5 linked regions of the Rattus norvegicus genome follow. The protein of the gene in region 1 interacts with the protein of each later gene in a pairwise test. Links are inferred from orthologs where the notes say so. Each region holds a gene or a part of one and is shown in the gene's direction. Other genes may lie near its edges.

Evidence for each region.
Region 2: the proteins of Fhl3 (region 1) and Ccdc198 interact in binary tests that used the Homo sapiens proteins (3 or more experiments, as listed by UniProt). The two-hybrid records come from large-scale screens. The link is inferred for Rattus norvegicus from reciprocal best matches to the Homo sapiens genes FHL3 and CCDC198.
Region 3: the proteins of Fhl3 (region 1) and Sap30bp interact in binary tests that used the Homo sapiens proteins (3 or more experiments, as listed by UniProt). The two-hybrid records come from large-scale screens. The link is inferred for Rattus norvegicus from reciprocal best matches to the Homo sapiens genes FHL3 and SAP30BP.
Region 4: the proteins of Fhl3 (region 1) and Mrm3 interact in binary tests that used the Homo sapiens proteins (3 or more experiments, as listed by UniProt). The two-hybrid records come from large-scale screens. The link is inferred for Rattus norvegicus from reciprocal best matches to the Homo sapiens genes FHL3 and MRM3.
Region 5: the proteins of Fhl3 (region 1) and Mrpl27 interact in binary tests that used the Homo sapiens proteins (3 or more experiments, as listed by UniProt). The two-hybrid records come from large-scale screens. The link is inferred for Rattus norvegicus from reciprocal best matches to the Homo sapiens genes FHL3 and MRPL27.

What each region holds. Positions count from the first base shown.
Region 1 is NC_086023.1:142,236,495-142,242,929, forward strand, and holds the start of Fhl3 (four and a half LIM domains protein 3), read left to right. Parts: upstream 1-2,295; 5' UTR 2,296-2,343; intron 2,344-6,435. UniProt on the Homo sapiens protein: Recruited by SOX15 to FOXK1 promoters where it acts as a transcriptional coactivator of FOXK1.
Region 2 is NC_086033.1:24,981,315-24,986,993, reverse strand, and holds the end of Ccdc198 (coiled-coil domain containing 198), read left to right. Parts: intron 1-3,859; coding exon 3,860-4,095; 3' UTR 4,096-4,297; downstream 4,298-5,679. UniProt on the Homo sapiens protein: May be involved in tuning the metabolism, energy expenditure, and excretion processes.
Region 3 is NC_086028.1:101,691,478-101,697,156, forward strand, and holds the end of Sap30bp (SAP30-binding protein), read left to right. Parts: intron 1-656; coding exon 657-717; intron 718-1,043; coding exon 1,044-1,095; intron 1,096-1,862; coding exon 1,863-1,921; intron 1,922-3,192; coding exon 3,193-3,277; intron 3,278-3,537; coding exon 3,538-3,719; 3' UTR 3,720-4,781; downstream 4,782-5,679. UniProt on the Homo sapiens protein: Plays a role in transcriptional repression by promoting histone deacetylase activity, leading to deacetylation of histone H3.
Region 4 is NC_086028.1:61,595,841-61,602,198, forward strand, and holds the end of Mrm3 (rRNA methyltransferase 3, mitochondrial), read left to right. Parts: intron 1-1,731; coding exon 1,732-1,899; intron 1,900-4,291; coding exon 4,292-4,821; 3' UTR 4,822-5,025; downstream 5,026-6,358. UniProt on the Homo sapiens protein: S-adenosyl-L-methionine-dependent 2'-O-ribose methyltransferase that catalyzes the formation of 2'-O-methylguanosine at position 1370 (Gm1370) in the 16S mitochondrial large subunit ribosomal RNA (mtLSU rRNA), a conserved modification in the peptidyl transferase domain of the mtLSU rRNA.
Region 5 is NC_086028.1:80,090,241-80,096,695, forward strand, and holds the start of Mrpl27 (39S ribosomal protein L27, mitochondrial), read left to right. Parts: upstream 1-2,104; 5' UTR 2,105-2,109; coding exon 2,110-2,155; exon of another isoform or gene 2,156-2,210; intron 2,211-4,635; exon of another isoform or gene 4,636-4,716; coding exon 4,717-4,842; intron 4,843-5,200; coding exon 5,201-5,268; intron 5,269-6,455.

The sequences.
Region 1 (6,435 bases):
TTTATTTGACTTATACTTCAACATCACAGTGCATCCCTGAAGGACGTGAGGACAGGAACTCAAACAGGGCAGGAACCTGGAGGCAGGAGCTGATGCAGAGGCCGTGGAGGGGTGCTGCTTACTGGCTTGCTCAGCCTGCTTTCTTACGGAATCCAGGACCACCAGCCCAGGGATGGCACCACCTGAAATGGCACTGGACTGGGTGTTCCCCCATCAATCCCTAATTAGAAAAATGCCTGGGGTTGGGGATTTAGCTCAGTGGTAGAGGGCTTGCCTAGCAAGCGCAAGGCCCTGGGCAGCTCCGAAAAAAAAAGAAAAAAGAAAGAGAAAAAAAAAAAAAGAAAAAGAAAAAGAAAAATGCCCTACAGGCTTTCATACAGCCTGATCTTATGGAAGCCTTTTCTCAGTTGAGGTTTCCTCCTCTCGAAGACTCTAGCTTGTGTCAAGTTGACATAAAACTAGCCAGCACACTTTCCCACCATTGTCCTCACTTCATGTCAGGACAGACAGACAGACCCCTGCTGTCTGCTCCAACCAGGAATGATGGTGTTTCCTGCATTCCTGTACATTTAGAGTTCCCTAGACCTGAGAGACAAATCCCAGAGGAAGGGCCCACCCTTAGACTCTCTATTCACTGGCTAGACTCCTGATAGCAGGTGCCTGGCAGGGAGTAGCAGGGGGGTCTAAATGAAAGCAGTGTGTGACATTCTTTCCTCATTTACTGCAGGTCGAACACTGGAGTAGATACTGGGAATGCCGTAGTGAACAACAACAGAAACAAAAACAAAACAAAAAAACCCCGACCCAACCTCTGCTCTCGTGGCATTTGCAATTTAAGAATCAACAGCATTGGGGTTGGGGATTTAGCTCAGTGGTAGAGCGCTTGCCTAGGAAGCGCAAGGCCCTGGGTTCGGTCCCCAGCTCCAAAAACAAAAAACAAACAAGAATCAACAGCATTGTGGTTGGGGATTTAGCTCAGTGGTAGAGCGTTTGCCTAGCAAGCACAAGGCCCTGGGTTCGGTCCCCAGCTCTGGGAAAAAAAAAAATCAACAACATTGAAGCAATTCTTTAACTTTAAAAGGAAACCTGGTCTGGTAATTGTTTTAGGACCTAGGAACCAGACCCATGTTATGGAACGATCCTCACCAGCCTTGAAGGCTCTTAATCCCCACAAACTACCTTGGCTGGATGCAGCCTTGGATCAGGGAAGCCTCTCTGGGCATCTGAATCATCACGGAGATGCAAAGGTTATTACCAGGGTTAGTTTGTTGTCTCTTGTTTTGCAAACAGCACAACAGAGCTTCCCCCACCCCACCCCCGCCCTCCAGATCAAGGCTATTTATTTCTAGTGACAAGCCTGAGGATCCCAGGGGGGTTGGCCTCAAGGACCTGGATGGGCCTCATGTCCCTGGCAGGCGCCAGTCCTCCCTTCCCGAACCAGGGTAGAAGCTGGAGGGTCAGAAACTACACAAGTTCCCTCTCTTCTTAACCACCCCTGCCTACACCAACCCAACCCCTCACATTGTTCACACACCCTCTCAAGAAACCCAAAGCCAATGGGACCTAGGATTAGGGTCTCCCTGAGCCTGAAAGGTCAAAATTATTCCTGGGCACTATTGAAACCTCAGTGCCAGGACACAGCTGAAGATGGGGAGGCTGTTGCCTGGGCTTTCGCCACTCGCTTATAGAATAAAAATCCTTTGAAATTGAGGAGGATAGAGGCTCTCTCTCTTTAACCCAAGTTTTTAGAAAAAACAAAAAAAAACAAAAAAAAAAAACAAACACAAACCCTTGATCTCCACTGGTAAGTCAGAATCAAAACCACGCCTCCAGCAGGCTGGATTAAGGCCTCTTCCCAAGCTAAGGTTTAGTGTAACATCTGGGGATGAGCTAGAGGGAAAAGAGGAGGGGGTCTGGTCCCCAGATGGACTCTAGCTAAGTCCTGGAAGCCCCGTATCCCTGGCCTGGGATCGCTTCCAGAAATCCCCCGGGGTCGAAGGGGCGTAGAGGGCGGGTCAGGCTGCAGGGGGCGAGCAAGGAGTGGTCGAGAAGGTCAGAGCGCCAGATTCGCCTGGGCTGGGCTCGCGGCAGGCAGGAGGGGGCGGGGTCTTGCCCCCGCGGGCGGGTTGGGGGCCCGGGGGCGGGGTCCGGGCGGGGCGGGCCGGCTCACTTCCTCGGAGGCTTAGGGCCGCGCGCCCACTCGCCCACACAGTCTGTCGCAGCAGGCTACCTCGCCGCGGCTCTCTCGGCCCCCTCGGCCCGGCCCGCAGGTAGGAGCCGCCGGGAGATCGGCTCCCGCCCCACCCACGCCGCTCGCGCCCAAGCTCCCGCGCCCGCTTCGAGGTGAGAGTCCCCCCACCCACCCAGCTTCCAGCCCCTGTTTCCGCGCTGCGTTCGGACCAGGGTTGGCGCCCGGGCCCCCACCCCTGTCCTCTGCTGGGGCATCTCGAACACGGGATCCCGCGCGCCTGCACGGACCCCACCGCTCCGCGCCTCCCGGTCGGGCAGGGACCGCCCGAGTTGCAGGGGATTGGGACCAAGTTTGAACTAGAAAAGCTTTAGAGGTAGCGGGGTTGGAGAAACTGAGGCTTTTAAGGAGTCTGGTAGAACAGGGAAGGGCGCGCGCCCCAGGAGGCTACCCGGACCACACCAATGGTGGCTGAGAATGGCCGGATAAACTTCTCGAGGCGCTGCCGGGGACCCGGGTTCTGTGGAGCAATTTAAGAAGCAAAATGTATGACCCCAGGGAACTCATTGCTAGCGCCCTTCCCAGGGCCTTGGAAGGCCCCGAGGCTGGAGCTTGTTAGACTATGGCTAAATCTGCCTCCCTGAGGCCTAAAGAGACTCTCAGGTGAGAGACACTGAGACGCTGAGAGACCAAGACTTGGATGCACAGGGACAGAGATCCTCAGAGTGGAGGCCCCACTAGGACACAGTTTCAGAGATACAGGAACACCTTCACCCCAACACAAAGACAGCAGCCCAAGGGTACCGAGAGGTATGGAGTGGAGGCTAGAGTTCACTGAGGAGAGACACCTAGTGTATTCACTGACAGCTGCCCCAGGCCTGAAAGGGTGGAGGCAAAGCTAGGGGGAAATTGAGTCTTAGCCAGCCCATCCCCCAGGAGGCAGAGGACCTGAGGCTGTAACGCTGAGCTGAAGAAAGAGAGCCCCGTACAGCCTCTAAGACAGCGCCAACTTATTTTTAAACTCAAATCTTGGACGCTCTGCCTCAGCCCTAGGGGACTCTGGGGTGAATGAAATGTTCCTCTCCTGTCCTCAGAGCAGCTGCTGGATCCGCTCCCTTATCCCCTTCTCCCTAAACTGCTTGACTTCCAGGCCCTGTGGGCAAGAGGGGCGGTGGAGAGTTTGGGATTGGTGCCTGGTTGGGGGACAGGGAGAGGGAGGGTTAGAGGGGGCTCTAATTTCTCCCCTAAGTCTCTTGTCAAGGGGGAGGGGTCTTCTCTAAGTCTGAGTCACAGCTGTGGGGTCTGGCCAGGGTCCTCGTGGACTTGGGATATGTGGGGGAGCGGGAGGCGGGGAAGGGGGGTATACCAAAGGGTTGAGCAGTTGGCATGGGTGATTGGAAAGACTTCTGGGTGTCTTCCAATGGCAGGTTGACAGCTGGGGAGGAGAGCCAGCCCCGTCCTCCCCTCCCCCCATGACTGCCCCTTCCACCACTATCATAGCATTTCCAGGCAGAGCTCTCCACTAAGGGATAGGTCACTTGTGCTCCAATTGCTGAACAGTCTCGGTCATGCCCCTAGCCTGCCCCTAGTGTCTTGTGCTGAGCTCTAAACGAGCTATACACTCTGTCCTGCCTTTTGGTGTGCGGCTTGTAGTGACCGTGGGGTATGTATTGTGTAAATAACAAGACATCGAGCAAAGTGTGTGCCCCCGGGAACTACCCACCTGTAAGGTCTTTAAAGTTCCCCCTCCTCCTGTGTCCTGCTGACTGGTCTCAGTGGTTCCCTGAGACTCCTGAGGTCACATCCCAGGCCAATTCCCGCTTCAGGCCTGCCTGAGACCCACCGTCTGACCCCAGTAGGAGTTGAGGGGCTTGTAGTAAAAATACAAGTGACTACCGTTTACTTACATAAGGCTACAGACTTATGACTGGCCAGACACTGTTCTGGGGATTGTCACATTTAAGCTCAACAGCTGTCTTAGGAGAGGGAGGTAATAGTATCTCATTTAACTAGATGGACAGTCTCGGGGCATGTAAACTGTGTACCCAAGGTCACAGGATTTCAAGTCGGGTTTATATTTTGTGACCCAAGCAAGCTGTTATACACTGGACACCGTACAGAAAGATATGCTGCCACTCTGCTCTCGGAAGTTCACTGGTGTGTGTGTGTGTGTGTGTGTGTGTGTGTGTGTGTGTGTGTGTGTGTGTGTGTTCAGTCAGGCATGGAGATATGTGTGTTAGTGGAAATAGCAGATTGGGGTCATCTGGAAGACCCACTGTCTCCTCTAATCTACCCCCCTCCTAACCCCCTACTCCTCCACCCCCTTCACCTCCTCACCCCCCTCACTCTCCCACCCCCTACCTGCTACCAGGAATACAGACCATCTCCCAGCTCACCTTTCTAGTCCTCCAGCCTTGCCAGGGATGGGGGTGGGGTGGGGGGGACTGGGGAAAAGACAAGTGGGCCTTGGTGGTGCCCTTCACTCTGTCCTCATTAGAGACATAGATTAAGGGATTGGGAGATTCTGGGAAGGAAGCAGAAGGCACACCCATGCCCTATTTGGGGTGCCTCATCTCATTGTGGTGACTGGCTCTGAGGGGGTGGATCCAGGGCTAGCCTGGACCTGGGAAGGTAGCTGCTGCCGCCAAGCCCGGAAGGAAGGGCTCCCAAGTGGACTCACGGCCACAGACCACCTGTATTTGCTGTTGTGGCTAACAGCCCAGGCGATCCTCAGAGGCTGGGCCAGAGGAGACCAAGACCTGAATGACGGTGGGGGGAGAGAAGGAGAGGGAAGAGGAGGTTCTCTTCATCCTTTAGCATAACCCCTACCTGAGGACTCTCCCCTTTGAAGACTTCAGCTTTGGTCTGTCCAAAGCTTTGGTGTGTCCTGCTTTGGTTGTGAACCAGGTGTTCTCCCACCTTGTGGAAGGGAAAGTTCAAATTCATAAGCCACAAAGAGGTGGGCCCTTCAAGGCTTGGGACATCTGTTGTTGCCTGAAGTCTGAACTCTAAGGCAAGGCAGACCAAGGTGTTTGGTGAGAATTTACTGTACTTGCTGAGGGGGGTGTGTGTGTGTGTGTGTGTGTGTGTGTGTGTGTGTGTGTTTTGGGAGGGCGGGGAATGCCTTTCCTTCATCTTAAGCCAGGGCAGCTATGGAGAAGGGGGTTGGTAGGATCCTTTGCGCACCCCCCTTTAACTTCCTCCAGTCTCCTGTGCGACAATGACACCATCCCGACTTCCTGTGGGTCCTGGGGGATCTTCCTCACTGTCCAGCCCTTTGAAAGCTTGCTTCATAATGGAGCAGGGTGGAGCAGGGGAACTCTGACTTTGGGGCCAGGGAGACTGGAATTGGCCAGCAGAAGAGACCGGGAACCCCATTTCCCTGCCCCCCCCCATCCTTCATGCTCCTGTTCCAGAGGCAGCTGTGTGGGTGACCTCATCCCACAAACATGCTTTGTTCCTGAGAAAATGGAAAGTGTCTGAGGTTTGGTGGGGGGCTGGGTGTCTGCAGCAACAGCACTTAGGACTCCCCTTGTCTTACTCCCTGTTAAGAAGGGACCCCACTGGGGCTCCAGGGGCTCCCACCTTCTCAGCTTTCACTACTCTGGCCTCAAACCCTGGGAACCCAGGGAAGGTAGGCAGAGGCAGCTTGTCCAGATGCAGGGGACTTTGCAGGGCTAGAACGGGCACCTGGCAGGAGAAGCAAGACACTGCCCTATCTGTGTGTCTCCATTTCCTTCCGCTTCCCTGGGCATCTCGTTTTTTCCCTTTTTTCTCCCTCTGGTTGGCAAAAGGCTGACATCTGGCCCTCCGTGCTGCCACAGCTGCAGCAGATGTCACAGCCAAGACTGCCCGGGCTGGTGTGACCAGAGACACAGCAGAGGTGGTAGGGATGAGGATGAGGTCCAGCTGGGGAAGTCTGGCTGTCCAGCTTGCAGGGTTTCCTTCCTGCCTGAACCTAAGCGGAACCTCTCAAGTTTTTGCTGCTTGGCTGATTCCCCTGGGAGGGGAGGCCCAACTTCTCACACCGACGTGCACCATTCATCAGACAAGCATCTCTCTAGCAGTCCACGATTTCCTGCATCTGCATCGGTAGGGAGTTGGGGTGGGGGAGAGCACACAAAACAGCTCATTCCACCTAAAACTCCCCCAGACCGGGAGTCTAGATAATTAGCCCCTATGATTCCTATCCTGGGAGTCAGGAGGTGAGAGTGTTGTCTATATGCAGTAGGGTTGGCGGCCTCTGT
Region 2 (5,679 bases), on another chromosome or scaffold:
GTGACTCAATAAAGTTTCCCATTCTCCTGCTGCTCCCACTCATTACACAGCCCTGAAGACAGAAACTTGCAGGTACTGGGATAACAGTGGACAGAGCTAGCATTTGGAAAGCGATTTTAATCACATTATTGTGTTCTTCCTCTACGGACCACAAGAGGTCAGGATTATTCCCATCTGCTTTTTTTTTTTTTAAGATTTATTTATTTAACTTATGTAAGTACACTGTACACTGTCATTGTCTTTTTTTTTTTTTTTTTTTGAGTGAGGGTATAAACTTTTTTTTTCATCTTTATTAACTTGGGTATTTCTTATTTACATTTCGATTGTTATTCCCTTTCCCAGTTTCCGGGCCAACATCCCCCTAATCCCTGCCCCTTCCCTTCCCTATAGGTGTTCCCCTCCCCATCCTTCCCCCATTACCGCCCTCCCCACAACAATCACACTCACTGGGGTTCAGTCTTGGCAGGACCAAGGGCTTCCCCTTCCACTGGTGCTCTTACTAGGATATTTATTGCTACCTATGAGGTTGGAGTCCAGGGTCAGTCCATGTATAGTCATTAGTTAGTGGCTTAGTCCCTGGAAGCTCTGGTTGCTTGGCATTGTTGTTCATATGGGGTCTCAAGCCCCTTCAAGCTCTTCCAGTTCTTTCTCTGATTCCTTCAACGGGGGTCCCATTCTCAGTTCAGTGGTTTGCTGCTGGCATTCGCCTCTGCATTTGCTGTATTCTGGCTGTGTCTCTCAGGAGAGATCTACATCCGGTTCCTGTCAGCCTGTGCTTCTTTGCTTCATCCATCTTATCTAGTTTGGTGACTGTATATGTATGGGCCACATGTGGGGCAGGCTCTGAATGGGTGTTCCTTCTGCGTCTGTTCTACACTTTGCCTCCCTATTCCCTCCCAAGGGTATTCTTGTTCCCCTTTTAAAGAAGGGGTGAGGCATTTGCATTTTGGTCATCTTTCTTGAGTTTCATGTGTTCTGTGGATCTAGGGTAATTCGAACATTTGGGCTAATATCGACTTGAAAGGACAGGTCCACGACAAGGTCACAGCCAGATAGCGAGAGATGAAACCTCTCAGGATGCTTCACCCCAGAGGCTACACACTTGACTACTCTTGCCTCTGGCTCTAACAAAGGCCCCCTCCAACTGATCACACGGGACCTCTCTGACTGTTTCCCTATCTTCTAAAAGTGGTTGACTTCGCTTTCTCCTGGGAGTAGAACGCAGCCAAGCTCACTTACAGCCCTGAGCATTCTGGTAGTTGGGGTCTGACAATGGAGGATCCTCTGTTCCAGCACTCACTGGTTTAATGGTTTATCTACCATTTCTTGTTTCCCTCCAGAAGGCAAGACAGGAATTTTAGCCTTTTGTGAGACACGAGCTGAGCTTTCTTTTCTGCTGCTTCTTTAAAACAAAACCACCTTTAAATTGTTTTTATTTATTCGCATGATAAATTACACATATTCGTATAAAATAGGTAGCTATGTACAGCATAAAGTGAGCTTCGCTCTTTTTGATGTGCGGTTCTGTGAATTTTACGTTGTTCGTGTGGCCACGCGCTGTCCAGAGGCATGACATGGATTCAGTTGGAGGAAAAGCACAGCTACTGGAATCAAAGTCTTCGACTGAGATCCAACAGTGCGCCCTCTCTGGGAGTAGGCCCATCTTACTCTTCCTAGAGCAGAGTCTTACCTACGGCAGCCTTTCGATCATAGGTTTTTCTGCATTGCTCTAAGTTTTAAAAGAATATCTAAGTACACTTATTGTTGCGCTTTGGTGACCCTATCTTTATGTGTGTAAAATGGAGATCAATAGTATCAGTCATGTAGGGTTCATGTAAAGTTAATCTCATGTGTATAAAAAGGACATGTAAGAGCTAGGGAGATGGCTCCACCGGGAAAGTGTTTGTCCCACCAGCTTGAGGACCTGAATTTGGATCTTTAGTACCAATGTAAAATGCCAGATCATGGCAATATGCATTTATTATCCCAGGGCTAGAGACGCAGAGATAGGGGGACCCTTGAGGCTTGCTGGCCAACCCAGCTAGTCAAGTCAGTGAGCTCTGGGTTCAGTGAGTGGCCCAGTCTCCACAATTCAGGTGGAGAGCCATTGAAGTGACACTTGTCCTGAACCTCCAGCTTCTGCGTGCACCCATGCACCCATATTCTTCACCACCCCCAGTGCACACACAGAAACTGTAAGGTTCAGACAAACATATAAGAGTCTGGATAAAATATAAGAGAAAACGGAATTGATGTCTACATCAATTACTTGTCTCATTGAAGCAACTTAAGGAAGGAAGGATATATTCTGGATCCCAGTTTCAGTTAATGAAGACCAGTGGGGAAGTATGTCAGCAGGGATAGGAGACAGCTGCCTACATTTCATCCACAGTTGGGAATCGAGGACAATAAATGCATGTTCTCAGCTCACTCTCTTTTATTCGGTCCAAGGCCCCAGCTTATGGGATGGTACCACATTCAGTGTGGGTCTTCCCACCTCAATTAACTTAGTCCAGACAACCCTCCTGGGCATGCTCAGAGGTGAGGCTGGTCTCTTCAATACTTATTGGAACCCGGCAAGATAACAGCCAACATTAACCATCACAACGTCATAGACGGAAACACCTTATCTTTCAGAGAAAGGTCACCCTGAACCTATCATTTCAATGTCACCTTCACAATTCTAAACCTTCTCCATTCCCCCTATACTATTTAACTACTAAATCTCTAGTTTTTAAATAGATTTGTAGCTTTGTCTTTGAACTACTGTGATGTGTGTGTGTGTGTGTGTGTGTGTGTGTGTGTAGCAACGATAGATTTTTCTAAAACACCTATTATAAAATACATGACAGCCAAGCATTTCTCATGCTTTCTGTTTCCTATACCATCCAAATCACTCCTTATTCCTTTAGTACACATCAGAATACATTGCCTTCCCCTGGGGCTGGTGGGGGAAGGTTAATCCTGGAGTTTTATACACTGGCTTCCACTCTGCATGCCAAAATCCACTTAGGTTTCCAAAGGTCATGATTTTTGTTTTTATTTTTACTGTTTTTAAATCTATAAACCGTACACTATCACACAGAAGAATGTTGTGACAACTAGCTCAGATGTCCTCAAGCTTCACTGCTTGTTCCCAGGACTGTGTATATTGTACCTTATTAGTGACAAGACTACACTTTTGGGAACCGTTTCCATAATTCATCACTAGTGAGAAGGATGAGACTGAAGGTGTGCGTCTGTATCACAGACAATCTGAGACTAGAGTGATCTTGGCCCCAAGAATGCTATGGGACTTAAGCTAACGTTGATAGTACATTAGAACCCACAGCTAACAGCTATTTTCTTTCCACTTCAAAGCTCTACATCCAGTTACAGACGTTCTAGAAAATCTCTGTTCTCAGTGATGTTGCTTGCAGTCCACAGCTCATTTGGAGGACAGAGATAACTAGCACACTTAAGCTCTCGTGGTTGAAGTAGTTCCCAGGTTGGGGTTGCCATTACTTCCTGTGTCCAAAGTTCCTCTGATTACTCATTGGTTCCTTCATTTTTTGGTTCTCTTAATGACAAAAATATGAAAGTGTGTGTTTTCAATGGGTGACCCTGAACTCCTGAACCTCCTGCCTCCACCCCCTGAGTTTTAGGAACATGGGCATTTACCACCATCCCATTTTTTTATGTGCAGTCCGTGTTGTGCATTCTAATCAAACACTCTACAAACCGAGCTATTACAGGAAAGGTTAATATTTTCCTTCTAATATTCCTTCAAGTAAGTTATTCTATAATAATAAAATCATTTTCAATAATCATTCTTAAGGAGAAATTTTTTAAAAACATACAAACTTTTGCTCTTTTGCAGAAAATGCCCAGGATGAAGAATTCTTGGACTATCTCACAGAGGATGACTATTTTGTCCGGAACACTGGCAAAGTGGAAACATGGCTCCGAGCACAAGAAGCCCAGGGGCGGTTTTTCTGGAACAGTTCCAGCTCTGACTCTGGTGAGCTCGAGAAAGAGGAGAGGAGACCACAAGCACTGGTGAGGACCAAGACAGAGAAGATCCCTCTTTATGATGACTTTTACGACAGTGCATAACAAAGCTACCCCAGGGAGTGAGGGCACGGAATGCCTTCAGCTTGTTCTCTTCTATAAAACCATTCATATTTGCATATGGATTACTCTGAGGGATGTGAGGTATTTGGGAATGCAGAGAAGATATCATCCAGAGTCTTGTGGTTTAATAGCCTTGCCATGTATGCTATACTCTACGCCTTAAAACTGAGGGGTTGAAACAAAAGTCATTTGTTTGTCTCTCTTTTCTGTTGGTAGCTGGGCTCAGTGAGGTTGTTCTGTTGGTCTCCTAACATAGCTTATGTAATTGGACATCATATGGCTGCTAAGACTGGACTCACATAGATCTGAGCAGGGGCACAAGACAACTGGAATCTCTTCACAAAGTCTGTGCAGCAAGGTAGTAAATTTTTCCTTTAAACCAGTCCAGTGTGTCTTACAACAAATATCCCAGCTAGAAGAAGCCAGAGGACACAGGCATGACAAGTATCTAGTCATTGAACCCATCCTAAGCCACTTCTACCATTTCCTATCAGTTAATGCAAGTCATAGGCCAAATGCTAGCCAATGAAAAGAATGTGTACCAAAAAAATGTCCATCCTGGAGACTTTCAATAACATCATGCATCTTAAAACTTGACACTGGTTTTTGCCTTTAGAAGCATGTAGCTGGGCATGGTGGCACTCGCCTGTAATCCCAGCACTCAGGAGGCAGAGGAAGGCAGATCTCCATGAGTTTGAGGCAGTCTACACAGTGAGCTCCAGGGCAGCCAGGGTTACACAGAGAAAATTGGACCCAGGGGCAAAGGAGAAGGGTGGGGAGAGAAGAGGAAGAGGAAGAGAAGAAGGAAAAGGAGGAGGAGAAGGAGGAGGAGGGAGAGGGCGGTGGGGAAGAGGAGGAGGGGGAAGGGAGAGAGAAAGCAGCAACATGATAATAACATACCTGTAATCCCAGTACCAAGGATACTGAGTCAGAAGAATTCATGTCCAGCCTGGGCTACACAACAAAAGCCTATCTCAATCAACTGATCATCCATAAAGACAAATTAAATCCTATAAAAATAGATGAGAATACACTTATATAAATACAAGTGAGCTTTTAAAGAAACATCACCATGATGCTACAAGAGACACTAAGATCACTCAGGCTACTTTGTAAGTAAGTTGCCCATGTAGAAAGCGTTCACACAGAGATAAAGAAAATTCTCTGCAAAAGGTCATTGTGGAAATAAAGCTCAAAATGCAGACTTCTTCACATGATCTATAAATACTTTTAAGCAATTCAAAGTTTCCAAAAATTCAGTAAAACAAGTCAAAGCAAAAACACCGTTTAGGTCTTCACTAAAAACGTGCCACCTAAATTTGACACTCAATCTCTTCAAACCAGTCTCTAAGAGGACCAAAAGCCTGACTTGCCAAGATGAACTACGCTTTCCAGGGACGGAAGGTCATGGGTCTGTGCTTCTTTTTAAGTCCTGGGTTGTTTCTCTGCTACATTTCTATACTCCCTGTGCTTGGCAAGGAGCTCAGCTGCACCAAAGGACAATCATCAATACGAGGTTGTTTGACCAGCAGCCTTCTCCAAAGGGTCAGACCATTTCAGAGGACA
Region 3 (5,679 bases), on another chromosome or scaffold:
CATGATGGCTAAGAGACCTGGCTGGGTTCTGCTCCCCACCCTGGTCCTAAAGGAGGACATTCAACAAGGTAATCACCAGAGAGGTTCTTCCAACTCAGAAAGCTTGGCTTTGGCTCATGAAGGGTTTAGGGACAAGGTGTGTCTGGCTGGGTCTATTGTTATGTCGAGGTATTTGAGATAGGATCCCACTATGTAGTCCTGTCTGGCCTTGAACTCACAGAATCCACCTGCCTCTGCCCCCGCAAGTGCTAGAGTTAAAGGTGTGCATCACGCTGCCTGGCTGTGTCCCAGGCTTATTCTTTCAAATGCTCAAACTAGTAAAACACCCAGGGCAGGATGCGCCCTGTGTCAGCAGGGACTGAGCCCAGCCAGTTGTGTGGTCTGAGTGTGGAGGCCCATGCCAAGGCCAACTGAAGACCAGAAGCATCTACAGTAGACATAGCATTCAGATGCTGTCTCAACCGCCTTCTTCTGGCCCCAGCCGCAGCCTGTCTGGGGAGGAGGCAGGCATCCCATCAGGAGGCTGCATTGGTGGAAGTGATGGGTGAAAAGGCTTCATCCCTTTGTCATCGGTCCAGGAGCCAGTGGTTCTGATTCCATACAGGATATGGGACCAGTACAGAGCCTGCTCATGGGTTCTTCTGTTCCCTTTTCAGCATCTACGAGAAACTGATCCAGTTCTGTGCCATTGATGAGCTGGGCACCAACTACCCAAAGGTGTGCACAGGGGGTGGAGCTTGCTGTAGTGGGTGTGGCTTCATGCCATGGAACGTCTGTGGAGTGGCTTGGCTGGTAGTCTGGCAGATGCCAGTGACAGGCTTGGTCTCTGGGTCCCAACCAGTTAGAAGCCAGGACCGGGCCTGTGCCACTGCTACCAGCTGAGCGGACGCTCCTACTCTGCTCTTAGGAGCTTCCTGGCTTTGTGGCTGGTGATCAGGGAGCCGGCTGAAGCCCTGTGCCTTCATGAGGGCTGGGGCCCTAGCCTAGGCAGCTCCTGTGCACTGTGGTGTCGCTCTGACTACAGTTTAACCTCCTCTTTGCAGGATATGTTTGATCCCCACGGCTGGTCTGAAGACTCCTACTATGAGGCATTGGGTAACCTCTGTAGCTTTCTGTTTATCTACTCATCCACACACCCATCGGTCTGTCCATCCAGTCAGTGACTTAGGTGACCCATATCTCAGGCAGGGTCTCTGTGCCGGGCCATGTCTACAGGGCTTCTGTGGACAAGACTGACGGTGTCCCTTGCTGGCAAGACTTGGACACAGTACAGGCAGATGGGATAGTAATTCCCACACTGATGGCACTGAATTAATGTGAGCAGAGCCAGAAACCTTTGGCAAGCAGAGCGCCTGACCTGGCCAAAAGATTGGGAAGGCCCTGTTGAGGAGACCGTTAGAGCAAGGTTTGGAGAGGTGCAGGGGCCAGAATGCCCGGGGCAGAGGAGGTGTGTGTTCTAAGGCCAGGGAACACAGCACAGAGCTGGGAGTAATTTCACAGCCTGAGCCTTGAACCTGTGAGTCCCCGTCACAAGCCCAGAGCTTGTAAACCAGGTCCTGGCTCATTAGTGTGTGTATATGTGGCCCTTACAAGTTTTGCCTTATTTTAAGTTAGTTCCCAATATTTTTATTTACAATATAATTCTGTATCTAGCGTTCCTTAGTCAGTAGGGTGGTCGTTCACTGTGAATGAAGCTCAGGAGCAGCCCCCAGACCCTTGGACCAGGCCCATGGTCCACGCTGACCAGGGCCTAACACTTCACCTGCTCCAGTGCTGAGCCCATGCAGCCCTTTAGGCCAGTATGAGGAATGCAAGGTCAAGGCAGTGACCTCCTCGGTCACACACTGCTCATGTCTCCACAGCCAAGGCCCAGAAGATTGAAATGGACAAATTGGAAAAGGCCAAAAAGGAGAGAACGAAAGTAAGTAATGACTGACCCTGGGGCGGAGGTGCTGTGAGGTGTGCAGGTCCTGCTGCTGAGTGGAAGAGTCCGGCTTCCCAGGCTCCCTGCCACCCCTACCCTTCATGTCTAGTGAGGCCTTGAGCATCCTTGGCCTTGGCCTCTGTGATGAGCAGACGGCTGTCTATGGAAACCACTGCTCAGCTGTGGCAGGCTCGGCGTCCCCGGCATTGTGCCCTTCCTTAGCCCACTGCAGAGCCCTGGGGGCTTTGCCTCTTATGGCTCAATGGTGCTCCAGCCTGATGTGAAGTAGCTGTTCCTTCATGAGAGTGAGGCTAAGGCCTACTCTGCGTTGTGCATTTCTTGGCCTGCAGAGCTGACCTCCACAGCCAGCTTGTGTGGGTTCCTATGGATCTCATGTCTGAGAGCCACATAAGCCATCAATTTGGACACCACGCACCACTTCTGTAGCAGTGTCATCAGAGAGGGTCTGCCAGGAGCTTCACGATCCCCAGATTGTCAGCTGGACATGAGAATACACCTTCTCCTACTCTGGTTAGGGCTGAATTCCTCACAGCAGCTGTGACCCACAAGAGCCTCCCTTACCTCCAGGCTGAGGGCTGCAAGGCCTGGGGGTGTAACTGGCCCTTTCTGAGGCTTTGTGGCCAAGAATGTGGGAGTGGTGTGAGGGGGAGGAACTAGGTTTCTTGTCCTTTTTTAAAATGTGCATATGTATTTTATGTATATGTGTGTATGCCTGTGTGACAGAAGAGGGCATGGATGGTTGTGAGCCACCATGTGGGTGCTGGGAACCAAACTCGGGTTCTCTGGATGGAACCACTGAGCCATCTCTCCAGCCCCAAGTTTCTTGTTCTTAACCATTGAATGAATCTCCCCCTTCTTTCTCTTCCTCTCCCCCTAAACCCTAGGCTTAACACAGGTCTGGGGACCACAGCTGTCCTTCTGTGCAGAAGATAGCACTTCCTCCTGGATGTGAGGAGGAGAGGCCTGGCAGCTGGTTTAAGGGGACAGTGGGTTGGGTGCCGGTCGGTCATGTGTGGTAACTTGTGATGCTGGGAGGGACCCCACATCTGCTGGGAAAGTGTTTGGAAGAGTGACAAAAGCCCCTCAGGCACCTCCCACTCTCCCAAGTGCTCCCAGCCAAGATGGTTTTCAGGGCCTCTTTTGTTTAATGCCGAACTCTTGTGCCCTGGGAGCAGACAGATGGACGGACAGCACAGGAAATGGACACATGTCTCTGCAATGGTCTTATTGTCCTCTCTCCTCTCCAGATTGAGTTTGTAACAGGCACCAAGAAAGGCACCACAACCAATGCCACGGCCACCACCACCAGCACTGCCAGCACAGCTGTCGCAGGTACAGGCTGCTCATCCCGTCCCTGCACCACCTCAGGGCCTCCAGATAGAGCGGGAGGTTCATGGGTTTGTTAGAGAGGGACTGTGCCAGGCTTGGCCTTGTGTGCTCTGCCAAGTATGAGCATAGCAAGGCTCCCAGATTATTGACTTCCCTCTGGGTTCCTGGACCCAACCTGCCTCTGGCCTGCCGGGAAAGGGGCCCTGCCCTTGGGGTCCTATTGGTTGGTGCTGATCTTGACCCCTCTCTTGTATCACCTCTAGATGCCCAGAAGAGGAAGAGCAAATGGGACTCGGCCATCCCCGTGACGACAATAGCGCAGCCCACCATCCTCACCACCACAGCCACCCTGCCAGCAGTGGTCACTGTCACCACCAGTGCCAGCGGCTCCAAGACCACTGTCATTTCTGCCGTGGGTACCATCGTGAAGAAGGCCAAGCAGTGACCAGAGGACACCCCAGGACTTGGCAGGACTGTGCAACCCAGTAACTTCCACCCACTGGGAGGTGCCTTTGTTTGGGACTGATACGCACTCCCCACATGCCTTCCAAGAGGAGCCTCGGCATTCCAGCCGGAAGGACGTCACAGCAGAGGCAGTGTGTGCATTGGACAGGGTCTGTGCGCACACCTCTTGGGTCTCACCCAATTAAAAGTACTGCTTCTTGGGTCCTGGCATGTCAGGTGCACTGGCCTCTCCCACGCTGCAAACCTGAAGCTCTAGTGCCCTTCGTAACAGTCAGGATTGTGGCTCAGGATGAACAATGGCCGACAAGCCACGGGAGTACTCAGAGGGGTAGCCCAGGGAGCTGCCATGGTCATTCCCAGTGTATGCCCAGGGCGTGGGCAGGTGGGAGCTCAAGGAGGGGCCACACACATAACCTTTCCTGTTGTCTATTTTCCTATTCTCCTGATCCAGAAACCAGTTCTGAACAATTCTCCGGCAATAACAGAGGCCGCTGCTCTCTTGGGTGCAGTTAAACACTCCCCACACTGCTTATGATACACACCCAGGCTTTTGAAATCAGGCCAGATAACAGAGGGCTGGGTGATTCCCAACCTGCCCAGGGCAGGAGCAAAGTGTGGGCACCTGGCCAAGGCCGCCCCAGCCCCTCAGTGCCCAGTGAGTGTGGCCAGCAGGATCCACGCAGTGGGGGAGATGAATCACCTCCTGCTCTGGCCAGGGCTGCCGCTCATTGTTTGTGTGAAGGCGCTGCTCTGGGGAAGGTCTGCCACCCCGCCCTTCCTATGTTGTTATCTCTACCCAGCAGCAGCCCTTGGTAGCACCAGCAGCCACTCTGTGGGCCCAAACATTCGCCAGCCCGACACGGAGGGAAGCTTGTCTTTCGTGCCCTCTGGCAGCTCTCCCTCCCATTCAGCGGAAGGACTGAGTGTCAAAGGAGGAAGTGGGGCTGTGAAGGATCCCACTCCTTCCATGGGACCAACAGAGATGGCCTCTAAGGTTGTGTTGGGTATTTGTGAAATACCCTAAAATGAAAACCCTGTCACTACTGTCGTCCCCTTCTGTCCTTGACTGCATGTGTCCCGAGCACCTCCAGTAAGGTCTACCCTGCAGGAGGCTCAGGACACCCAGGTCTGAGTAGGCACTTTGGGAGATGAACCAAGGACGCCAACACCTTGGCTCCAGTCCAGTCTGCAGCAGCCCTGAACCAGTCCTGTGGAGCCTCGGAAAACACTACCTAAGGGCTTCGTGAGGGGCCTGAGCTTCACAAAGCTCAGCTGAAACCAGCCTCATCCCCACCAAGAACTAATTAGATAGGGTCTCCTGAGCGGGTCTTTGAACGTCTGATTCCTGCCTTTGCTTCCTGAGTGCTGGGATTGTGAACATGAATCATCACACTTAGTTTATATGGTCTGAGGGATCGGATCCAGGACTTCCTGCATGCTAGGCAAACGCCAAGTGAGCTACATTCCCAAATTCTACCAGGGATCTGTGGGGATGGGATGCTGGGGACCTGGCTGTTTGCTGGGGACCTCCAGACTCTCAACTGCTGCCAGTTCAGTCTCCTATCCTGTACCGAGGGATTGCTGCAACCCACGTTTATGTAATGTGTGTCCCACTGTTACCCTAATCGACAGAATCCTCCTCGGGCACGCTCAGAAGCTGGGTGATCCCCACAGGTGTACCTGGAGGCTTGTGACCCAGAAGTCGAGTGGGCGAGGGCCATCACAGAGTGGTGGGCTGCTCAACACCTCAGGTTGTGATCACCTGACTCCCTTGACACTGCTTGCCCCAGGCTCTTTGTGACTGGCTTACCAAGCCTTGCCAGTGGTCCTGTGCTTTAGGCAAGTGATGGGCAGGCCGCTGCTGTTTTGTGCTTTACACTTTTATATATTAGAGTCGTAGTGTGTAGTACTTGGCATCCAACCCAGGCTCCCTGTTCTAC
Region 4 (6,358 bases), on another chromosome or scaffold:
TTCAAACTTGCCGAGATTCTGACCCTCAGCAAGAGACCTTACAAATGACACGTTCCTCACTACCCCATAACTCCTTCAGTATGAACCCTTGCAGACAATGTCTTCAGTGTAGTATTTCTAGGCAAGGCTGTTGAGAATTTTGATGACTTTGTTTCCTGGGGGTATTTTTTCAATTTTAAGACAAGTAGTGAAGGAGAGCTATATGGCTATTGTTTAAATATTTAGGTTAAGCCTACACATTAAGTAAAACAAAAACCCAGGAAAATGGAGAAAGGCTGTAGCATCAAGACAGTTTGGTGAAAGGAAAGCAGAAGCAAAGACAGAAATGTAAAGGGGTCACAAGTAGTCAGGTGAATGCAAAGATGTCCATCTCCCTAGTACTGGGGAAGTACAAAGGGAAATAAGGGAATGCCATTTTTCCTATCAGAGTGGTAAAAACTGAAAGTAAACATGTCCCCTGATAAGCAGGCTTTGAGCTCGGAGGCAGATATTTATCATTCTAGACATGGCTGGAGAGCCTCCGAGGAGGGCAGTCCCATGGCATTTGTTAACATTAAGAGTATATGAACACGGTTCGTCCATTTCACTTGCAGGAATTTGGCCCAGAGAAGTATTCAGACATCTACAGAGTCTGCTGTGGACACTTAGTGTAGCATTGTTTTGTTTCTTTTTGTTTGTTTGTTTGTAATGGGTAAACTTTTAAATCTTTAACTGTCAATTACAAAACTGGAAAGGACTGGGCAGTGGTGGTGCACGCCTTTAATCCTAGCACTTAGAAGGCAGAGGCAAGCGTATCTCTGTGGGTTTGAGGTCAGCCTGGTTTATAGAAAAAGTTACAGAATAGCCAAGGCTACATACAGTGAAACTGTCTCGAAAAAGCCAAACCAACCAACCAACCAAACAAACAAACAAAAGACTGGAAAGAGCTAAACTCTGGCACATTATATTACAACGCTTAGAAATATATAGTAGCTGCAAATATACTGACATCAAACTTGTAAAGACATGTTGAGTGAGATAAGCAGGTCACAAAATGAGCTTTTTAAAAATTCGCTTATAGATATAGGTTATATAGATGCTAGATTTACAATCTAAAATGTTGCATGTGAGTGCTTTGCCTGCATATACGTGCACCATGTGTGTGGCTGATGCCTAAGAGGGTGGACTCAGATCTCCTGAGGCTGGACTTGAGAGCCACAGTGTGGGTGCTGGGAATTGAACTGAGGTCCTCAAGAGCTGCAGTCAACTAAACTGCTGAGGCAGCTCTCTAGCTCCTATATGTCTTTCATTTGCTTTCAGGTCCTGTCTTTATTGCTTTCAGAAGTGTTAAAACCCAAAGCTGTCTGTATGCTAGGCAAGTGCTGTACCACTGAGAATACCCCAAACCCTGGTGGATTTGTGTGTGACCATGTTATGTAGATCAGGATGACCTTAAACTCTCAGTTCTCCTGCTTCCAGCCACTTGCCACCACACCCACAATGGCTTTGTCAGTGTTGACAAGCACTGATAAGTATGCAGATATAGTTGGGTGAACAGAGTTCAGAGAGAAGGGTTGGAAGCAGATGGGGTTAGTAGTGGTAGAATTTTTGTTGTTTGAAGTTTTGTAGCCATAATATACTCCTGTTTTCATTAGGTACTTGTGAATACATAAAGAATGATAAATAAACAAAAAAGTCAAGCCATTCCCATGCACAGTCCAGACTAGTGAATCTTCTGTGTTGTTTCCCTAGGGATTTTTGCCAAACCTGACCCTGTTAAGATGACGTATCCAGAGACTCAGCTTCACCATTCACTGCCCTTACTGTTGATTTGTGACAATCTCCGTGACCCTGGGAACCTGGGGACAATCCTGAGATCTGCAGCTGGAGCAGGCTGCAGTAAAGTCTTACTCACCAAAGGTAAGAATACCTCTTTTTAAATGAAATAAGGTTAATTTCATTTTTAATTATGTGTACATGTGTATGTCTATGTGTGCACACACAAGTGCAGGTGTCTACAGAGGTCAGATTCAGGATGCCCCAGAACTGTAGTTCCAGGCAGTTGTGAGCTGCCCACTGTGGGTTCTGGGAGTCAGCCCCCCCAGTTTGTAAGGCCTCTATAAGAGCAGTGTACACTCTTCTCTAGCCTTGGAAAAGCACTTCCTCCCCAGTGGCTTCATTGGCTGTTTTCAAATGAGTTAGGGTTCTAGACAGATATGCAGGGTCTGACTCTCTGATCTGCCCCGGGTTGGGTAACTGCATATCCATAAACAACATGTTAAATGTCAAATATCTCGTCTTTAAAGTGGGAATAAGAAGAATCTTCCTCATGGTTGGTCTTTGTTTTTTTTTCAAGATTACTTGAAATGTCGCAAAGAAGCGTTCAGTAACTATTGCTTGTGTTTTAAAATTATTTAAAAGCTGTTTTGGAATTTCAGGTCAATAAAGGGAAGAAATAGGTTCCCATTTTATGAGATTTTATGGATATACACTAATTATTTACATGCCAAAGTTAAGACTTGGTTTAAGATCCTTGTTTATCTTGAGTTCTCAAAGTGTTGAGTATATGAGTCCTTCCTAAACCCCTGAGTTCTGAATCCCATGGAAGGAAAGCTGTCACCAGAGTGATTATGTGTTCTGGTACATTTTTCTTAGCCTCAGGGAAATGTAGTTACACAGCGATACACAAATTAGCCTTATTATATTTGAGCTTTTTCGCACAGAAGGGGATTAATAGGCTTGGTTCTAAACGTACCTGGCAAGCAGTTGAGACATGTCTAGAATGCCTTTTACACCCTGGGAGCGGAGGGGAGGGAGCATGTCACTCATCAGAGACACGTAAGCTACTATTAAATAAAAACTCATAGTGGAACAATTGCTGAGACTTGCCTAAATTGCTCCATTCAACTCTTTCCTGATACACTCTGTCCAAGTACTGGAATGACAGTGTGAGACCTAGTTTCTGGGGCTCCATTTTCAGTACCCCACCCTTCCATTGTTGAGTGCTTTGATGGCAGTGTAGTTTTGGAAATGTGTTCACATCACCGAGGACGTGTAGTTTTCACTTGTTCCCACTGGCTGGTGTGAAAGAGGTCAGGAAAGAGTAGGACAGTTGGTATGCATGTGGCAGAAGGAGCTCTCATCTCCTTACTCCTCTCTAGCTGAAGGAGTGAGACTAGACATCTGCTGACACAGATCTAGACCCATCTATTCCTTTCCTTCATCTCGGCCAAAGCCCGCTCCCATCTCTGGTTCCCTGCAGTGCTTAGGAAAGCCTATAGGTGGGGTGTCTGGGCATTAGTACAATCTCTGTCGGTCTGACAGATACCACCCTAAGCTTTAAAATGACTTGTCATAAGGTAGCCCTGTGATACTCGTGGTGAAATGCCTTCCTCCTACTTGCCTGTGGTGAGAGTAGGCATATGGACAAGTCAGTATCTGCTGGGCAGCCAATGCACAGGGGCCCTAAGGTCTAGATGTGACTATGTCAGAGTGGGTACCTCTAGCCTTCTCACTACAGCATGAAGGAAGGCCTTGGCAGGGACAGAGGACTAACTAGTTGGGCTCCTGCTTCCTCCCAGATTGCTGCATGAACTTCTTGCTTGGTTTGCCCTTCGTTAGTGTAGGGAGACTGTTCTAGTCCAGATGGACACTCAAATCAAATTGGTCTTTCTAAAAAAGTCAGATTTGGTCATTGGTTTGCTTAAGTCCTCCAGTGAATATTCTTGATAAATCTATGCACCTCAGCTTAGTACTCACTCTGTTATGTTGGCCGTTGCCTGCTTTGGCCTCCTGAGTCATCCCACCTGTCGCACAGCAGGCAATGCTTGCTCACTCTCCTTTGTCCTCTACCTGGGCCTCTCTCCAGCAAGATCCTCTCGTCCCTTAGGAGCCAGCTCAGTGTCACAGTCTCTTAGATGTTTAGTGTTTTCCTGCTCGTGCTTCCTTTACATCAGTTACTGTTGATACTGCGGTCATCTGATTCAATGTTCTTCCAGTACCACAGTTGATAACCTGCATTCCTGCAGATCCATGGTGGCATTTTAATCTCTGTTACATCCTCTGCAATGCCTGGCCCCTGTGTACAGATGCAATTAACAAAATCTATCTTAGCACTAGCAGCAATCAGTCTTCCAGACCCTTTGCTGGTCAGTGTCATCAGATGGGAGGTTCTTGGTCCCAGCAGCGGAGAAGACTGTAATGGAAAAACTGCTGGGTTATGTCTTGGTTAGAATTCAAGGGATTTACTTCATCATTCCTTTTGTGGTCTAGGAAGGTTTGTAAAGTCTCAATTGTATCCTTTGTCTTTTAGGCTGTGTGGATGCCTGGGAACCTAAAGTGCTCCGGGCAGGCATGGGGGCACATTTCCAGGTGCCCATTGTGAACAATGTGGAATGGGAGACAGTGCCCAATCACTTGCCCCCTGACACCCGAGTCTATGTGGCAGACAACTGTGGCCTCTATGCCCAGGTTCAGATGTCTAATAAAACCGGTGACCGTGACTGGGCATGTGATCGCCGATTCTTAAAGTTCCATAAGAATGAAGTGGACCTAGACACTAAAGCCAGAAAAGACTGGCTTCCCAAACTTGAGGTCCAGAGTTATGATCTGGACTGGACTGAAGCACCAGCAGCTCTGGTGATAGGCGGAGAGACGCATGGGGTAAGCCTGGAGTCCCTGCAATTGGCCGAGAGTACTGGTGGCAAGAGACTGCTGATCCCTGTTGTACCTGGTGTGGACAGTCTGAATTCAGCCATGGCTGCGAGCATCCTGCTCTTTGAAGGGAAAAGGCAGCTGAGGATAAAGATGGGAGACTTGAGCAGGGACAGTTGTTGCCATTGAAGGATTGCTGCAGGAATCCTCAGTGGGAGGGCAAGGGTGCCTCCAACCCCTGCTCTACTGGACTGCTGCTAGGAGGCTGGCCAAGGTGACAACTCAGGAGCCAGGAGGTAGGCATTGCCATCATTTTGTGATGCTGTGAAAAATAGAGGAGTTTCTGTTGTTCCTTATTAAACAACAAAGGTGAAGATTCTTTTTTGTTTTACTTATATGAGTGTTTGACTGCTGTATGTACGCTACACCACAAGGGTGCCTGGTACGTGGTGGAGGTCAATAGAGGTGTCATATACCCTGGAACTAGACTTAGGGACGGTCATGAACTACTATGTGAGTGTTAGAGACCAAACTTGTGTCCTCTGGAAGAGTAGCAGGTGCTCTTAACCACTGAGCCAGCTCTACAGCCCCATCAAAATTCTCCCTACGACCTCCCTTCTCCACTGTTTTTGAGATTGTGTGTACCTCATAAGCATTCTGCCAGAGCCACATTCCCAGCACCTTAGTGTCTCCTGAGAAGCTGAGGGCTGCAGGGCATGGCGTCCAGCAACCAGCTGTTCTTTGGTCTTCTCTGCAGCATCTCTGGGCTGGTGTGTTCAGGCCTTCAGTTCTACAGGCAGCTGATGTGTATTTTCCCCCTTTGCGGTGGACCAACAGAAGCCGTTCATCAGGTGGTATCATGCCTTCTTAGCACAGCCCCTCTGCAGTGCTGTTTGTTTGCTTTAAGACTGGGTCTCACGCTATAGCCCTGGACAGTCTGGAACTCACTATATGTACCAGGGTGGCCTTGTCCGTAGAGACCCACCTGCCTCTGCCTCCAGAGTGCCGGGACTAAAGGTGTGCACCAGCATGCCTGGCTTTCCAGGCATCTTTGCGAGGATTCTGTATGAGTAAAGGCCAGACCCTGAGTCTACTTTGCAACATAGCCTGTGCTGGAGGTGTCAGCTTGCTCACCAGCTCCTCGCTACTAGTTGTGGGTCTTGTGACACTATTAAATGCTATGATTTAGGGGGACAGCAAGATGGCCCAGGGAGTAAAGGTACTTGCTGTCCAAGTGTGGTGACCTGAGTTCAACCCCTGGAACCCATATAAAGGTGGAAGGAGAAAACAGACCCACAGAGTCTCCCTCTGACCTCTACACAGTAATAACGAGGATGATGAGGCTGTAAGTGGCTGCAGAAATGGCTCAGCAGGTAAGGGCATCTAACTGATAGTTCAGAGGACCCCAGTTTAATTTCCAGCGATCTATTCAATGGATCACAACCACCTTTAACTTTGTCTCCAAGTAATCTCCTGGCCTCCTCAGATGTGTATACTCAGATGTGCACAAACACAGACGCACTCATGTACATGTAATTAAAAATAAAAAAGGAACATTTCATTTTTAAATCAGAAAGCAACACTGGGTGTTGTGAGGTAAAGATCTTGCAAGGTCAGAGTGCTGAGGCTGTAATCATATTCCCCAGGGACCATTAACCCCTCAGAACACAGTGAGGTTGGAGAAGACCAAAGCAGGTAGTTGCACCTGCTGAGTGAGCATGGGAAG
Region 5 (6,455 bases), on another chromosome or scaffold:
ACCGATACACTAATAGGATCTCTCCTTCAAAACCTTTCCAGGTCATGGAGAGTTATAATCAAAATGGTTACTGTTGGAAAACTTTAATGGGAATCCTAACAAAAACTCATTACTCTCTCTTTGCTGACCCCTGCATTTGACAGAGCTTTCTGTTTTGTCTTTTTGAGAGTTTCTTGTAGCTCAGGTTGGCTTTGAACTCACGCAGCTGAGGATGAGTGTGAGCTCCAGATCCCTCTGCCTTGCACTGACACGCGCTGGAATCACAAGTGTGCACAATAATTTTTGATTTAACATGGTGATCATTTAAAAAAATTAAAATATTTGTGTATGTGTGGGCATATACATGCCCCAGTCTAGATGTGGCAATCAGAGGATTACTTTCAGGGAGTCGGTCCTTTCCTTCCATGGTGTGAGTCCTGGGGATTGAATCCAGGTCATCAGGCTTGGCAGCAAGCACTTTTACCACTTGGGTCATAGCTCACTGCCCCCCACCCCAACATGGAGATCTTTCTAAACCAAAAACAAACATAAGAAACAAAACCCATGCCGGTGCTGGAGAGCCAGCTCAGCAGTTGAGTTTATACTGCTCTTAGAGAGGTCCGGGTGCAGTTCCCAGCATCCACCCTGGATACTTCTCACAACTGCCTGTAATCCCTGCTCCAGGAGATCCAACACCTTCCTCTGGCCTCCACATCAATATAAAAATAAAAATAAATGAAATTTTAAATAAAAACATAGGTAAATAAGATGGCCTGGTGAGCAAAGATGCATGTCACCTAGCTGGATTTCAATTCAACCTACACTGTGGAATGCATGCCTGTGCACACACCCATGTGCACACATGTGCTCACACAGGCCAAAAACAAAAAAAACAAAACAAAAAACCCAAAAAACAAAACAAAACAAAAAACAAAAAAACAAAGCAAAACAGAAAAACCCCAAGCCCTTACAACTCACATAAATAGAGTATACTACTTAAAACTGTACTCTAGGAGTTGGGAGTAGCAATGGCAGAGTGCTTGCTTAGCATGTGTAGAGCCATGTGTGGGTTTTAATCCCAGCATGACAAATAACAGATAAATAAATCATTCATTCAGACTAATGGGGCTAGGCATATTTGTGTTGTGTAATCATTACCATCATCTTATTCCAGAATGTCTCCAGCACCACAAAAAGAAATCCGATACGATTTGAGCATGCTGGTGCATAACTGCAATCCCATCTTTTGGGAGGCAGATAGAGGAGGTATTTTGAGTTCAGGACCAGCTTACATGATACAGTGAGACTTCTCAAAAGCAAAAGTAATTCTATAACCATTTAAAACTTTTTTTAAGAAAATTTAAAAATTAAAAAAAGTTCTTTCCCTCTCCCAGTGCCTAAAACAAAACAAGATCCATTGTCTCTATGGGCTTACGTACTTTACTTCACAAAAGCACACAGTATGAGCCTTTGGTGACTGGTGTCTTTCACCGTCATGCTTTCAAGGTCCTTCTGTGGCCATACTATGCACCAGTACTGCCTCGTTTTTAATAGCTGAATAATATTCACATTTATTGCTTGATAGACAGTTACCGTGCTTTTTTTCTTGGCTATTGTGAATAATGCTGCTACAAATATCCACATACAAATATTCTGAATAACTATGTTTTCACAGTTCTCTTGTGTGTGCACTGAAGTTACTGGGTTACACGCAAGAGTCATTCATTCAACAAATAATTAGTGACTGTAGGTTGTGAATGCTTGCAGCCTTCCTGGATCTCAGTTTAGCATAAAACAAATAACTTAGGTTTGTAATTAAATGAATTAAATGAAATTGTGCGTATACAACCAGTTTGGCTTGGAATCTGGCTGAGCATCACCCTGGTCCCTCCCTAGGGACTTTCGTTTGGTTCCTGAGTGGTACAAATGTCCGTGCCGGCCACACGCCTCGACTCTGAGGCCCACGATCCATTGCAAAAGTCTCTGGAGGTCCCAGCCATAAACCCTGAGAGATCTGCGCTCACCTGTTATTGCTCCCGCCACTCTTTGAATTGTACGCAAGACCCGGAAGTAGATCTATCCCGGTAGCGGAAACAGACTTCCCAGCCTGGAAGTGAATGTGAAGCAAACATGGCGTCGGCGGCGGCGGCCCTTACGCTGAGGACGCGGGCAGCAGGTAGCTCAGCACTGTGGTTGTTGCGGGGCGAAACACCAGGGAGTCCGGGAGATGGAAACCGGAGCCCGTGTGAATTCTACATACAGGGAAGGAGTGTGGAACTCGGGACTCGTGGAGGCGGACTGTCTCCGGTCACGTGACACGTGGTGGGCGGTGCTGTGCAGAGGGTGGTAGTTGAGAATGAATGCCTGTTGGTGATAGTTATTCCAGATACCTTGTGCCCCTGGGTTTATGTGGATTCCTTCGTATATGAAGAAGACTAAGTTCAAAAAATTTAGTCGAGTCATTCAGCAGATATTCAGGACTTGGCTTTTTTTTTTTTCCCTATCCTCACTTTTGAGATAGGTCCTCACTGTGAAGTTTGCCGTCTTCGTGCTGGTATTTTAGGTCTGATGAGACCCTGTTCAGAGTATCAGCATAAACATGATTTCTAACGCCTTGTAAGTTCAGCCAGTAAACACGTGAGTAACTTAGTTGTAATCGTAAATAGTGTTGTGAAGAGTCTTAGATTAGGGCATCAAGGATGGCTCTTCAAGAGATAACAATTAAGACCTAAAAGAGACAGACCCAACCAACCCCGTGTAGACAGTTTTACACTTTGAGGAGCAAACCAGAGGAGGCAGGCTGAGCAAAGAAATAAATAAGAATAAGAATGAAACCTGGTGGGACCGGGAATGCTGGTGCCTGCAATCCCTGCACTTAGGAGTCTGAGGCAGGAGGATTGCATCAGGTCCAAAGCCAGCCTGGGTCACAGTCTCAAAAGCTATAAATAAATAAAATATCCTACATGGAAAACCATCTGGAACACTTGCTGTAGGACGATTTGGCCAAGATATTAGCGGTGATGGTAGAGAGCTTGGAGGGTAGTGGGTGAAAATGACATCCATTTGTTCTGAAGATAGATTCCACAAGTCTTACTGGTCTGTAAAATGAGAGAAGTAATCTGTAGATTCTTGTTTTTCACAAAAGCAGGCATTTATGAATGAAATAATGTAGACAAAACATTATTTCAAAAAATCAGTCACCAGTAAGTCGGTAAATGAAGCCAGGAAGTGCATGCCTGTAACCTCAGGTTATATGTGAGGTAGAGGCCAGAGGATTGCAAGTTTAAGGCCTACAGGAGAGGGGTACAGGAGAGGGGGAGGGGATTAAGGTTAGGAAAATTCTATTCCATTGCTGGACATTGAACATATCTCTGTAAGCTCTTTTTTGATGATGTTTGTTTGTTTGTAGACACTGTTTCACTGTGTAGCTGTGGCTGTCCTAGAACTCACTCTGTAGACCAGGCTGGTTGTGATCTCATAGAGATCTGCCTGCCTCTGCCTCCCAAGTGCTGGGATCAAAGGCTCGAATGTGCTGCTATGCCCAGCCTGGCCTGCTCTGAGTTCCTATCTCTAGTCTTGTATCCTAGAAACTTTCTGTTTTCATGGGAATTTGAGAGACCAAGGTAATCAATACTGTGAATGTATGCCCCAAACACCCATAAAACCTCTCTAACTGTGCTGATACTAGATCCTAAGATCCTATAACTATACCCAGAAACTAAAAACAGACAGCCAACTGCCCATGTTAGTCTGAATTTTATTTTATGTGTATGAATGTTTTGCCTGTGTGTATATATGCATACTGCATGGTGTACTTGGTACCAGCAGAGGTACGAAAAGGCCTTGGGTCCCCTGAAACTTAGAGATGGCTGCGAACCACTACAGAAGTGCTAGAAACTGAATCGAGGTCCTCTGCAAGCAGTCACTGCTGCTAACCTCTGAGCCACCTCTCTGGCCCCATTAGTATGCGTTTAAGATAATGTTCTTTCAAAAGTATTTTTATTTAATTTTTGAGAATTTGATTTCATGTATATAGTGTATTTTGATCATCTCTACTCCCTTGAACGCCTCCCACATCATTAATCCTTTTAAGGTAAATGTTGAGTCCTTTGTGGTGATGAGTGGCGAGGTCAGATTAATGCTGATCTTAGGCAGACGTCTCTGCTTATGGGCTCTGGGAAGAAAAGACTGTTCTGGAATGGCCAGTAGCTTGCAGGAGCCACCCTCTGACGGGCTGCCCTTCTGGTGCAGTTTTCTGGTGTTCAGCGGATAGCTAAGAGTGAGACTGAAGCAGAAGCCCCGCACGTTTCGTGGTCTGACCCTTCCCTTGGGCAGGAGAGTGAATCTTTGAAGGAGGCAGCTGTCTAGTGTCCACTTCATCTGTTTCTGTGCTGTTTCTGCTCAGCTGGACTGAATGTGTCAGGAGCCAGAGCACAAGCTGTTTTCTCCCCCTATTTATGTTCACTGTCTGCTCTCCCTGATACACACATCACCACCAGTCACAACCCCCCACCCCCGTACCCCGCTTACCTCTGGACCAATTCCACCTGGAATTGCGGCCTGCCCAGGCATTCCCTGAACACCACATTCTTAGCGTTTCTGTTCCTTTCACACATCTTTCATTTTTCTCATCTCCCTTGCTACTTCTCGGCTTAGCAAATGGTCCATAGAGGCAAAGAACGCGCATCAAATTGGGAGCCTCTCTGAACAGTGTCTCTGCCTTCTCTGCGTTGACAGCCCTGCTGAGTCCCACAGCACCTACAGCACTTGCTGTCAGATCCGCATCCAAGAAGACAGGTGGCAGTTCTAAGAACCTTGGTGGCAAATCACGAGGCAAACACTATGGCATCAAGAAAATGGAAGGTGAGGGTGTGCCTTCGTTTCTGTTTTCCTACAGTGCTGCTCTGCTCTTAGAAGAGCCAAAATGCTACTCGGGTGCCTCGCTCACCCGCATCTCTGCCCTTCACTGTAACACTTGTCCCCACATTAAAGGGTAGGTGAGCTCTGGGGAGGAGCAGGGGCCTCAGTGAGTTGCAGTTTCTTAGGCAATGCAACTGAGAAAGCGTCTGCTGGATGGGGCCCTGTATGTAGGACCATCTTAGAGGTCCACCCAGGAGCAGGCTTGGGGGTTGGTGGGCCCGTGGGCTGCCGTAACTTCTCAGCACTTGGCTGGGCTTCTGTGATTATGTCTCGGAGTCGGCTCACTGGACTTCTCTTTCAGGTCACTACGTTCATGCCGGCAACATCCTTGGCACTCAGCGGCAGTTCAGATGGCACCCAGGCGCCCATGTGAGTTGCTCTGTGCTCTCTCCCCATTTCTTGTCTTTCCTAGGCAACCTTTTCATGTGCATGCCTTGTGTCCTCAGCCTGTCCCTTTGAGGCAGATGTCATCTCTGTTTTATGGTTGAAATGCCAGAGGCTCAGAGAGGAGTGGACCCCAGTTAAAGCTGCGATTGCCTACCATCAGATAGCGTGCCCTGGGTCTCATTTTTCTCTTCCATAGGAAATGAAAGAAAGTTAAATAAATGACATATGAGCACTTGCAGCTGCCCGAGGACCTAGAAATAATATGGTTTAGATACGGTTATCTTCTGAAAGGGCTGTACTTCTACAGATACATGTGTCTTCAGGGTTTTTTTTTATCAATTTATAATTTTTATAGACATTTCCCCCTTTATGACTCTAAAGGAAGAAATATTTCTATTCAACCAGAATCAGATTCAGTGAATACTTTTCCTTCCTTAAAAACAACATCAAAAGGGCCTGGTGGGGCACACCTTTACTCCCAGCACTTGGGGAGGCAGAGGCAGGCAGATCTCTGGACAACCTGGTCTACAGAGCAAGTTTCAGGACAGCCAGGACTACACAGAGAAACCCTATCTCAAAAGACCAATAGAAAGAAAGGAAGGAAAGAAGGAAGGAAGGAAAGAAAGAAAAAATCAAAGGGGCTCAGAGACAGCTCAGCCGTTAAGAGCCCTGGGTTTAATTCCTAGCACTCACATACTGATTCACAACCATCTGTATCCAGTTCTAGGGACCTGACACCCTCTCCTGTCTTTGATGGCAGCAAACATGCAAGTGGTGCAGACATGCATTCAGGCCAAACCTATGTACATAAAATTAAAATCATAAACATCAAAGACAAGCTGAGTAGTGCATGCCTTTCAACCCAGCACTCAAAACTCAGAGGCGGGCAGGCAAATATCTGAGTTCAAGGCCAGCCAGAACTACATAATAAGACATCCCCCTCAACATGCAACACCCCCCCAGGGGGTGGGGGGGACTGGATGTGAATTCTTTACTAAAACATTGACAGTGGAGGCTGATTTGGCTAAGTATGTTCCAAGTTCTTCATGATGCTTAAGATGGCCCTATGAAGTAGTGAGTTTATTCCCAATTTGCAGACACCGGAAAGTAACTCACCTAAATCACAGGGTATTTAGCAGTGCTAGGATCTGAGCCATGCTATTATTTTG